3 linked regions of the Oryctolagus cuniculus genome follow. The protein of the gene in region 1 interacts with the protein of each later gene in a biochemical or structural test. Links are inferred from orthologs where the notes say so. Each region holds a gene or a part of one and is shown on either strand. Other genes may lie near its edges.

The links.
Region 2: the proteins of RAF1 (region 1) and RHEB form a complex in vitro, tested with the Homo sapiens proteins (3 studies listed by BioGRID and IntAct). The link is inferred for Oryctolagus cuniculus from reciprocal best matches to the Homo sapiens genes RAF1 and RHEB.
Region 3: the proteins of RAF1 (region 1) and RASD2 form a complex in vitro, tested with the Homo sapiens proteins (2 studies listed by BioGRID). The link is inferred for Oryctolagus cuniculus from reciprocal best matches to the Homo sapiens genes RAF1 and RASD2.

The regions. Positions count from the first base shown.
Region 1 is NC_091441.1:114,625,125-114,628,865, forward strand, and holds the start of RAF1 (RAF proto-oncogene serine/threonine-protein kinase), read left to right. Parts: upstream 1-1,372; 5' UTR 1,373-1,807; coding exon 1,808-1,889; intron 1,890-3,741. UniProt on the Homo sapiens protein: Serine/threonine-protein kinase that acts as a regulatory link between the membrane-associated Ras GTPases and the MAPK/ERK cascade, and this critical regulatory link functions as a switch determining cell fate decisions including proliferation, differentiation, apoptosis, survival and oncogenic transformation.
Region 2 is NC_091438.1:22,310,734-22,314,474, forward strand, and holds the start of RHEB (GTP-binding protein Rheb), read left to right. Parts: upstream 1-1,558; 5' UTR 1,559-2,022; coding exon 2,023-2,074; intron 2,075-3,741. UniProt on the Homo sapiens protein: Small GTPase that acts as an allosteric activator of the canonical mTORC1 complex, an evolutionarily conserved central nutrient sensor that stimulates anabolic reactions and macromolecule biosynthesis to promote cellular biomass generation and growth.
Region 3 is NC_091442.1:113,063,638-113,067,378, forward strand, and holds the start of RASD2 (GTP-binding protein Rhes), read left to right. Parts: upstream 1-1,044; 5' UTR 1,045-1,909; intron 1,910-3,741. UniProt on the Homo sapiens protein: GTPase signaling protein that binds to and hydrolyzes GTP. Regulates signaling pathways involving G-proteins-coupled receptor and heterotrimeric proteins such as GNB1, GNB2 and GNB3.

The sequences.
Region 1 (3,741 bases):
AGACAACATGCACCAAGAACATCTATCTGAAGGAACACCTGTGCAGCCCCCGAGAGAGCCGGCCAGCGGTGTGCCGCTCCCCCGTGAGCGGCGGAAGTGGGGAAAGTGGCAGGGGGAACCGCCCTTCCACGGAGGTGAAAGGGTCGGTAGCCAACTTGGGAAGAACCAGCAGCAAACCCGGGGAGGGCCGAGCAGACAAAAGAACAGCGCAGGGTCCTGTGTCATTCCTCCGTGAAGAGGGGGAGCGACAGCCGCCGCCTGCATATGGGCACTGGTTCTAATCCTGGCTGCTCTACTTCCAATCCAGCTCTCTGCTATGGCCTGGAAAGCAGTAGAAGATGGCCCAAGTCCTTGGGCCCCTGCACCCATGTGGAAGACCCAGAGGAAGCTGCTGGCTCCTGGCTTTAGAACTGCGGAGTGAACCAGTGGATGGAAGACCTCTGTGTCTCTTTCTGCCTCTCCTTATTCACTCTCACCATTTTATTTTTGATTTGTGAGGCGGAGTGAGTGAGCCTGAGCATTCACTAGCTCTCAGGTCTGCTGATTGACTTCTCTGAATCTTAATACAGGGCCTGGGCCGGGTTGAACTGGGAGCTGGATGTCAGTCCAGGTCTCCATGTGGGTGGCAGGAACTCAGTTACTTGAGCCCATCATCACTGTCTCTCAGGGTTTGAGTTAGTAGAAAGGTGCAGTCAGTAGTTGGAGTTGGGATTCAGATGCAGACATCTTAACTGCTGGCCCACGTGCTTGCCCTGGGATCAGCCTTTCTGAAGCTCTGACTTAGCTCTGACTTAGGATTGTCAGCAAAATTATCAATGCGAGTAGAAGGGAAATACCCTCTGTCTTTCATAATTTAAAAAGTTAAAACTCCATGATGCTTTTCTCAGATTTTTTGAAAATTATGAAAGTGTGACAGAGAACATGTGCATGTGCCTGGCAATGATTGTCCCCCAACTCCCTCCTTGGGCTCCCCAGTCTGCTGGTTCATTCACCAAATGCTCTCAGTGGCTGGGGCAGGGCTGTCTGAAAGCGAACTCTCGCTCATGGGTGGTGGGAACTCATCTCTGCCTCCCATGGTTTGCATTAATAGGAAACTGGAGTCAGGAGCCAGAGCCAGGCATAGAACCCAAGGGACAAGGGGACCTTAACCCACCTTTCAGGGAATTTATTAAATGAATAAGTCGAAAGAAAGGAATACTTGGGATATAGGAAACAGGACATCCAATACAGGAAAGAAGTGAAGGAAATCCCCGGAAGGCCAGTGGAAGTCAATTCCTATACAGGTATACAATTGGGCACAAGAATCCTCAGGGCTGGCACTGTGGCATATTGGGTTAAAGCCCTGGCTTGAAGTGCCGGCATCCCATATGGGCGCTGGTTCTAGTCCCGGCTGCTCCATTTCTGATTCAGCTCTCTGCTATGGCCTGGGAAAGCAGTAGAAGATGGCCCAAGTCCTTGGGCCCCTGCACCCATGTGGGGGACCCAGAGGCAGCTCCTGGCTCCTGACTTCAGATTGGCGCAGCTCTGGCCATTATGGCCATCTGGGGAGTGAACCAACGGATGGAAGATCTCTCTTTTTGTCTCTGCCTCTCTCTCTCTGTAACTCTTTCAAATAAGTAAAATCTTAAAAAAAAAAAAAAAAAAAGAATCCTGAACACATCCAGGCATTCCCCCTGCCTGGATGTGTTTGGTTTGTTTTTTTTTTTTTTGTTTTTGTTTTTGTTTTTTACTTTGGAAATTTATATTTATTAAATGAAAGTTGAAAAAAATTATAAATGACATTCAAAAACATTTAAAAAATAAAAAGATGTGGATCCCCACAGACTTTGCGAGGTACTCGGGACAGAGTGTATCATCGCAGCCCCCTTCCAGCGCACACGTCAGTGGCGGTAAGTACATCCACACGGTCCCTGCCGTTACCACCATCTCCAGGCCTGGTCTGTGTCCCAAACCGAAACTCTGCTCCTGAACCAGGAAGTCCCCGTTCCTCTCTGCAGTCCCTTTGTGTGTCTGCATTTGACTGCTCTGAGTCCCTCACAGACGTGCAGTCACACACTGACTCTTGTGTCTGGCTTACTTCACTTAGCATGATCTCTTCAGTGTTCGTCCGTTTTGTAGCAAGCGTCAGAATTTCATTCCTTCTTACGGCTAAATTCCATTCTAAGTATATAGTACTTTTTTTTTTTTAAATCCATTGATGGACCCTTTCTTGGAATCTCAACAATATTCACCTAAAGGATGGCCTTTTCTTGAGTGAGAGGAAATGGACCATAACTTAAAAATATTACATGATGATAGTCCCTTTAAGTATACTCCCTTCCTTGTGGAGGCGGTATAGAGACTTATGCTGAGTCTTGAGATAGTCCAAGTGATTGGAAATGTGAATAAAACAGTCTGGTAGCATAGTGTTTCCCAAAGCATGGGACATGTATTACTGATATTTACAAAATGATTTTAGGGGATATTTTGGGAGCATGACAGAAACTAACTGAATCAATCTGATAAGGATTTAAAGGAGAAAGACTCAGTTTTCTGCTAACATTTTGTTTTACTTTAGTTTTATTAATTTATTTGAAAGGCAGAGTTAGTTAGAGAGCATTGTTGTCATAGGCCATGTTGGTTCCATGCATATTATTGCCCTGGAAGACGTGCCAGTGGGCAAAATGTGGAGGTAGTGTCGCTCCCCGTCTTCGTGGAGGAACGACACAGGACCCTGCGCTGTTCTTTTGTCTGCTCGGCCCTCCCCGGGTTTGCTGCTGGTTCTTCCTGGGTTGGCTGCCGTCCCTTCCACCTCCGTGGAAGGGCGGTTCCCCCTGGCCACTTTCCCCACTTCCGCAGGGGAGCGGCACACCGCCGGCCGGCTGGCTCTCTCGGGGGCTGCACAGGTGTTCCTTCAGATAGATGTTCTTGGTGCATGTTGTCTCTCTCCTCCTTTATAGTCCTCTTCCGCCAATCCCAACTCGGCTGCCCACACGCCGAGTACGCTGCTCTCCTCCAATCAGGAGCAGGATCAGCTCCTGGAGGTCATCACTCAAGTTGGCCAGAGGCAGCTGCGTAGAAGCTGTTTTCTCCTCTCCCAGCGCCATATTGTGGGAGAGCAGATGCATAGAACAAGTCTTAATTCCAGTAACTCAGTCTAGTCCGAGTTGCTCCCAGTTGCTCCCCACAGGTAGAAGATAGGGCCATTGATGATCCTGACCCTTTGTGTCTTTGGTTGTTGTTTTTTAAGATTTATTTATTTCTTTGAAAGCCAAAGTGACATAAAGAAACAGTAGACAGGAGGAGAGGGAGAAAGGGTTGGTCGGTTGGGTGAGAGGTAAGAGATAATTCCCATCCCCTGGCTCATGCTTTGAATGGCCACAGTAGTCAGGTTTGGGTAAGGCTGTAGCCATGGACTATGTGCTTGTCTTTCACAAGGGTGACGGTAGCCCAAGCACTTCTTGTGCTGCCTCTCAGGTATATTAACAGGAAGCTGGATCAGAAGTGGAGTAGCGGGGACTTAAACCAGCAGTTTGATGCTGGCATCACAAGCAGCAGATTAACTCTGTGCCACAACCCTGATCCCTGTATCTTGGTTTTTAATAAAAAGTTCAAAATGTAAAAGCAAAATTTTCTAATTTAAAATAGATCGAACGTTTAGAGAGGCTTGTGTTGTGGTGTGGTAGGTTAAGCTGCTGTCTGCAATGCTGGCATCCCGTGTGGGTGCCAACTGGACAGTGCCAGTGGCTCCTCTGCTGACCC
Region 2 (3,741 bases), on another chromosome or scaffold:
ATATTTGAAGGAGGGGCAAGTGTCTGATTCATGGTTAAGATGCCTGAACCTCACATTGGAGTGCTTGCCCCGACTCTTGTATTTCTGAACCAGCTTCCTGCTAACGCACTCTGGGAGGAAGCAGGTGATGGCTCAAGTACTTGGGTATCTGCCAACCACGTGGGAAAATCAGGATTGAGTTCTGTGCTCTTGAGTATGGCCTGGCCCAGCTCTAGTTGTTGTAGTTATTTGGTGAGTCAACCAGTAGACAGAAGCTATCTCTTTCTCTCTAATAAGTGACAATAAAAATTTTAAAATAATAATCTTTAAATAAATTATAGAGAAGGCAATTCTTCGCTGAGACAAACTATAGAGTTTTAAAGATGGCTTCCAGCTGGTTGTCTGCGACTTCAATCTGCAGAACCCTGAGGATACAAACGTACACCTCTCCCCTTTGCTAGGAGGGTTTCGGTGGGTAAGCCGGAACGCTTAGGGCAGGGTTGCAATTCGACCAGGTGCAGCTATACAACAAGCGCTCTGAATCTCCACACTCCGCAACCCAAGGCCGGCCCCCGGGGGTCCCCGCCCCACTCGTGGGGGAGGGGGCGGCGCGAGGGCAGCTGTCGTCAGCCCGGGCCGCACACCAGGGGCAGATTCGCAGGAGCGGCAGCAGTGGAACTGCTTATTCGGCCACCACCGCGTTCAACGCTGTCTGCCATGGCTGGGGAGTCTCCCAACGGCATCTTCATTTTCTCAGGCCCGCCTTTCCCGGGCTGGTTCGCCTTCCTGCGCTCCGCGGGGCGGCCGCGGCTCTTCACAGACACCCTGCAAAAGGGGGTCTGTCCGCGACAGCCTGCGCCCCCCCAACGCCCACCCCGGCCCCTTCCCCGAGAACGGCCTCGTGGACGAGCAGCGCGAGGGTCTGGCGTTGGTTGTTACCGCAGGATTCCCGCACCGGGCCCGCCCGTCACAGGGCTTCACACCACAGCTGCAGAGGCTCGCGCCGTTTTTAATGAAATTCCTGACATCTCGGAATTCATGCAGCTTCCCTTCAGCCCACAGTCTCTAAGCCTCGGGCGACGCTTAGTCACCACCTACATCCTCAAACCTAGACCTGGGAACGCCAAAGCGGTGAGAGACTGTACCAAAAAAAAAAAAAAAAAAAAAAAAAAGAGGGGGGAGCCGGTCAACCCACAGCCAGCCCGCCATGGCCACGCGCCTCGAACCTTTTAAGGGCTCCGCGAGAGCCAGTCAGCCAACTGCTCGACGTTCCTCCAATCCCCGCGCCTCCCGCCGCTAGCCCCGCCCCGCGCTCCTCTCGGGCCAATAGCTGCGGAGCATCTTCGCTCGCTCGCGCGCTCTCTCTCCGCCTCTCCCGCCCACTTCCCACCCGTTGCAAGTTCGAAGCCTTCAAACCCCGCCGGCGCCCAGGCGCTGCGGAGGAGCCGGGTGTATTTTTAGCCTCCCGGCGAGTAGCCCCGCCTCTGGCCCCGCCTCCTCGTCGTCCCCAATGGGAGACGGAGTTTCCGTCGCGTCATCGCGCGGGCGGGCAGGAACTGTCCAATCAGCGTCCGGAGAGAATTGGCGTAATTAAAAAGCGGCGGAAGGAGGTGGGAGGGTCATGACGCAGCGAGTTTCAGTCTTGACTTTTCCGGGAGCATTTCGGCGTCCCCGTTTTTTCCCTTTAAAGTAGAACGTTGCCCCGACGCATCCTCCGCGCCTTTACAGGGGGCGGAGGCGGCGAGCCGCGGCGGCGGCGGGAGGAGCGGCGCTGACGCGGGCCCTGGCGGAGGGGGCGGCCGCGGCGGGGCGGTCACGTGGCCGTGTTGTGGGGGGAGGGGCGCCGTCGCGCGGTCGGTTCCGGGCGGTTGGAGCGCGCGAGCGAGCGAGCGAGCGAGCGAGAGAGAGCAGCCGCGCCCGCCGCCGCCCCTGCCCTGTATGCCGCTGTCCCCCGGCGCGGCCGCCGCCGATCGCAGCAGCAGCAGCAGCAGCCGTCGCCGCCGCGGTTGATGTGGTTGGGCCGGGGCTGAGGAGGCCGCCAAGATGCCGCAGTCCAAGTCCCGGAAGATCGCGATCCTGGGCTACCGGTCTGTGGGTGAGTGGCCGGCGCCGCGCGGCCTCCTCGCGCCGCCGGGGCCTCTACCTCGGCTGGGTTGCGGGGATGCGGCCGCGCCGACGAAGTTTGTGGAGCCGGCGCGGCCGTGGGCCGGGCGGGAGGGGGGCCGCGTTTCGTAACCACCATTTTGAGCAGAGGTGGCGGCGGTCGGGGCGGCGGCGACCGCGCCGGACCGGGCGATGCGGGAACCCGCGCCCTGCGGGGCCGGGGCGGGCAGGTGGCGGCGGGGCACGTGGGGCCACCGGGCGCGGAGGAGCCCTAGGTTTGCCGAGGGCGCGTTTGGCGGCGGTGGGAGTCGCTTGCCGCCCTGCCGGGCGCTCCCAGCAGGTGGGACTCGCACCTGCCTCCCTCTACCTTCGGCCGCCGGCGCTCGTGATCCCGGCTGCCGCCTTCCGCCACCCCGGCCTCCAGTGAAGTCCGTGGGATTTTGACAAAGAAAACGGCACCTTGGGTCCTTTAAATCTGTGAAGTTCAGCCTGAAACACACACATACACACCACACACACCTCCCCCCCCCCCCAGGTTAGAGTTTGGTTACTGAGGGCAAGTTCCCTACCAAAGAAACCTAGAAAAGCCCCCAAAGAGACCAAAAGTGCTCCAGATACTCTTGGCGGCCAAAATAGGAAAGGAGAGAAAATTTTCTCGTCTCTCGGTGCCCTATTTTTCTTAGGGGAAAAAAAAAAATAATAAGGTCAGGTGCCTGTATTCAGGCTGTTGGAGTGATTCGGAAGTCTTCTCTTTTTTTTTTTTTTTTCTTAGGAGGTCGGCATACATTTGAAACTGTTTCTGGCAGTCGCTGCTTTGCTGGGTAGAGGGAGTCGGGGGTTGGTGCCCTGAGTGTCATACTGGGAAAAAAACAGAGCCGTTGAACTTGGGGGCGGCTTTGTTGTCTCAGACAAGCCGATACCTGGAGAAAATACGTTTATGTTGTCCTGCTGGTTTTTTTTAAAAAGTAACTGTCGAAAGACAGTGTGCACCTGAGCACGCTGCGGGGCGGAGGGGAAAGCCAGCGTTTGGCGGCTCTGGTGGTGGCCGCTGGAGGGAACCGTGGCTGCCGGCGCTCGGCAGAGGAACTCCCCGGCTGTGCGTCTCTCTCGCTGCCTCACCCCCACTTTCCACCGCCCGTGCCAGGGTCTGTTCGCTTTGACCCAGATCGGCTACAGCATGCTTACTCATCCCTTTACCGTCTCTCCGGGGGGAGTCCGGAGATTCGGCGGTGGGCGGGAATCAGAGGTGGATGAGCTGTGTGGATATGCCTAGCCCGCAGTCCCACATCAGAGGTCTGGACGCACAGATGGAAATAGCAGGTGACAGCCCTAACAGCTGCAGCCGGAAAGGCGCTCCGCAGTCCGCTTTCCAAATGCCAGTATGGTCCTGTGATCTAAACTTTATCAGCAGCCTGAGGCATCTTCTTGCTTTTCTGTGTTCTCCGTGTTTCCTTGTGTGCGTTTGGAAGAGAGGGTCTGTGGCAGGTGTTGGCTCTTGAGTGCTGTCTGATCAGATACATAGTGCTGACCAAAGATAGGAGTCTCGGAAGAACGAGCTTACAGTGATGAGCACTTAGTCTACCTGGTTTCTTTCTTTTCTTTTTTTGAGCTTATTTGAGAAGCAGAATTACAGAGAGACAGAGGGAGAAGTCTTTATTC
Region 3 (3,741 bases), on another chromosome or scaffold:
ACCCATTTTATAGATGGCACAACTAAGACTCAGGGTGGTGTCCGAAGCAGGGCTTGGGCGCGAGTCTCTCTCCCTTGGAGCTGCCTACCGGGGGCGTGAGAGTCACAGCCACCCCCAGACTCCGGGTCCCGGGCGCAGGGACAGCCGTCCCACGGAGACCTGACAAGGCTGAGCGCTCTCTCACACCTCGGCGAAACCGCCCATCTCCGCCTCACCCGGGGCACAGCTCCAGCCTCGCCGGCCAGTTTCCAGCTGAAATTTAATAACCTTGCTTTGTTTTCCTTGTACTTATTTTTACTCTTACCTTCTATTTATGGCAAGTGATACTGGCTTCCCATGTAAGGCAGAGATACGACGATTCTCTGAAAAATGTGCTGGGGCGGGGAGCGGGTCTCGGATGTAAAGCGTTAATAGGGGGCGCGTGGCCACCGCAGGCTCAGCCTGCCCGGGCTTAGGGAACGGCGAATGCCGGTCGGCGGGAGGCTCCGCCCCGGGCACACGGGCGGCCCCCGACAGCGCTGCGGGCGCAGACCTCCGTGCGGGCGCGCTGGGCCAAGGTGACTCCAGGCCCCTCGCGGTCCCACGTGCGCGGCCCATGTGTCAGCGCAGGGGTCCCTCCTGCTCGGTAGGGGCGGGTAGGTCGGGCACCTGGGGACTTCCGCAGGAGACGGGTTCGGGAGCCGGGGTGGGGGGGTGCGGGGTGGGCGCGGGCTGCAGACCACCCGCGGCCGGCCACCTGCGGCCAGAGCTGGCGTGCGTGCGACTGCGTGCGCAGACGTCAGCCTCCGAGGCCCGGGCCGCCTTCCGGCCCCCGCGCGCGCGTGCCCCGGCGCCTCGAGCCGCCCCCCAGCCGCCCCAGCCCCACGCGCCCGGGCACGCGGAGCCGCCGGACTGCGGCGCCCGGCGGGCGCGGGAGGGGCGGGGCAAGGCCGCGGGCTCCGCTCCCATTGGACAGGGGCTCCGGGCGGGGGCGGGGCTCGGGGCGAAGGCGGGCGAGCGCGCGAGCGCGGGGCAGACGCGGACGCCGGGCCGGGCTGCTCGCCGGGGGCCGCGGGCGCGGGGTGGGCGACGCTCGCCCGGGACCGCCCGCGGGAGTCAGCGCTCCGGCCGCTTTCTGGAGGCACCGCGAGCTCGCCCTGCCGGAGGAGGGGGCGTCCGCCTGCGGGGAGTCGGGGGCCGCGCAGAAAGTTCTCCTCCGCGGGAGGGCGCGGGGAGGAGGCGGGCTAAGGCGAACTTGGGGCGGCGTTCACGGCCCCCTCCCACACACGCGAGCGGAGCTGAGCGCCCTGCTCCTCCGTCAGCTGCTGGCGTCGCCTCGCGGGGAGAGCTGCGGCGCTGCGGGCTGGCGCGGAGGCCCGAGCGACCCCGTGGGAGCGGGCGGAGAGGGTAGCACGGGCGGCCAGGGCAGGCTCACGCGCCCGGGACACGCACGCATCCACGGTCACTTCCAGAGGACACCCCCGAGCCCCGGGTCTCTAGGGGTAGCTCCTTGATCCCCAGAGTCGCCCTGAGCTCGCCCGCCCGCCCGGGAGCCCCAGGCGGGGACCCTCTCCCCATCGCCCCCCGCATCGCGCGTCTCCAAGCCTCCGGGCACCTGGCTCAGCAGGAGGCCCCCGGGTCGGGGCAGGGCAGGGCCGGCAGTGGCGAGCCGGAGCCCGCCCAGCGCCCGAGCCCCGCCGACCCCTCGGAGCCCACCCATGGGGCCCCAGCTCCGCGCGCCCCCTCGCCCGGCCGCGCCGCGCCGGGCACCCCGAGCCGCGCAGAGGAGGAGCCCCGCTCAGTGACCCGGGAGCCGCGGCAGCCACAGGGAGGCTCGGCGGCGGCGGCGGCCGGAACGGCAGGCGGTTCCCCACACCTCCAGGCGCTTCCTGGCAGCCCTCCGCGCCGTGCCAAAGGCCTGGCCCGCCAGGTAGGAGAGAGACGGGCAGCAGCCTCGGGGAGTGGGGTCGAAGTGGGGCGGCCCGGGGGGGCGGGGAGGGTCGGGACCGAGGAAGGCTGGGCGCTCCTTGACAAGCCAGGGGGAGAGCTGGTTTGGGTGAGCACCTACTATGTGCCAGGGTCCATAGCAACTTTACTTAGCTAGGAAGAACTGAATTCTTCGGGGTGTGGGTTGGGCGGGGGCTGCACCCTTTCCAGGAAGGGGAGCCTGACCCAGCGTGCTACGAGACTCTCAAAAACACTGCCAGGACTCCTGGAGCCAGCAGCAGCCTGCACAATTGCGTGTGGGTGGGTGGGGGGTGTCTGTGATAGGCCCTGGGCTGGCCGGGACCCCCTCTGAGGACAGCAGGCCAGGGAGCCCCTTCCTTACCCGTAGCCCCTCCAGCTTTCTCTGGGTCGCCAAAGACAGATGTCCCCTGCCTGGGAAGAGTTTCCAGGGCTCAGTGGCCCCGAGGGACCCCACACGCCTCTGGCCAGAGCAAGAATGTTGTCCGGGACCTCTTGCGGGTGGGGGGTGGGGTGGGGGGAGATGCGGGCTTCTCCTGGGGTGGGAGTGACCAGGTGGGGGTCCTTTCACGCCTCTGCCTGCACCCAGCTCAGACTGCTGGCATTAAGTGCCACAAAGAAAGGAACCCGGGGCTTGAGGCCTGCTGTGTGTGCCCTTTGGCTGTACCGGCCTCTGGCCAGGCTGTGGGTTTGGCCCCCCATTTAATGGAGAAACAGCCTGAGCCCCAGGAGGCCGAGTCATTGGCCAGGTCGGGGAGAGGCAGAGCTGGGCTGTGGAGAGCCGTGGCTGCCTCCCTGCTGCTGTCCTGATCCAGGGCCCAGGGGGTTGGCTGGGGGTGGGCGGAGCTGCGGCCAGGGTCTGCAGTGGGGGGGGGGAGCAGAGGGGCTGGGGGAGGGCGAGTGCAGTGAAGCCGGCTGTGGGGTGCCCACCGAGAGGACACGGGCGTCCCCACCCTCAGCCTGCTGTCCCTGCCTGTGTGACCCCCCTCTTCCAGGCAAGCCTTGGGGGAGAGGGGTGCGAGGGAGGAGTGAACCAGCAGGTGTACTTACAGGGTCTGCAGGTGAGCCAGGGGGGTGGGGGGAGTGAGGTGGTAATGTGCCTCCGGGGTCACTCCCGCTGCCACCAGCCGAGGCTTCACTCCACTGCACACTGTTCTCCTAAGGACTCTGGTTTGGGCCAGGGGTGGGTTCTCATAGCGATCAGAGCTCAGCCAGGAGCCCAGCAGCCTGGTGGTTTCCCTGCCCAGCCAGCCGGCTGCTGTGTGCAGCAGGGCAGGCGACTCAGCCTCCCTGCCCATCAGCATCCCGTCAGTCCAGTGGGAGGGGAGCAGTGCGTCCCCGACGGGACTGCTGGGAAGTGGGAACAAGGCAGGGTCAGTCGCCTGCCTGGCCAGGGTCACTATTCCCCTGGACCTCCCCCCGCCCCGCCCCGGTGTCTGTGCCCCCGGCTGCCCTCATGCTGCTGCTGTGGGCTCAGCGGTCATATCAGTGCCTCTGGCTCCCACGCTGCTGGTGGTCACTGGTGACTCTCAGGTCTCCCAAAAGACCCTTTAAACTGAGTCCTGGCTGTGCCTTCCTGGGGTCAGCCCGGCCCAGGGTGGAGAGTGGGGAGCAGGCAGCGGAGGAGAGACGTTGTGCCACGCCCATCAGTGCCCACCTGCCTCCTCCCGCTGAGGAGAAAGAACAGTGTGGGGGCGGGAGGCGGAGCCCACGGGGGCCCTGTCACCTGGCATCCAGGTGTCAGTGCCTCACACGGCCCCACGTGGCCGGGGCCACGTGAAGACTCAGTGTTATCTC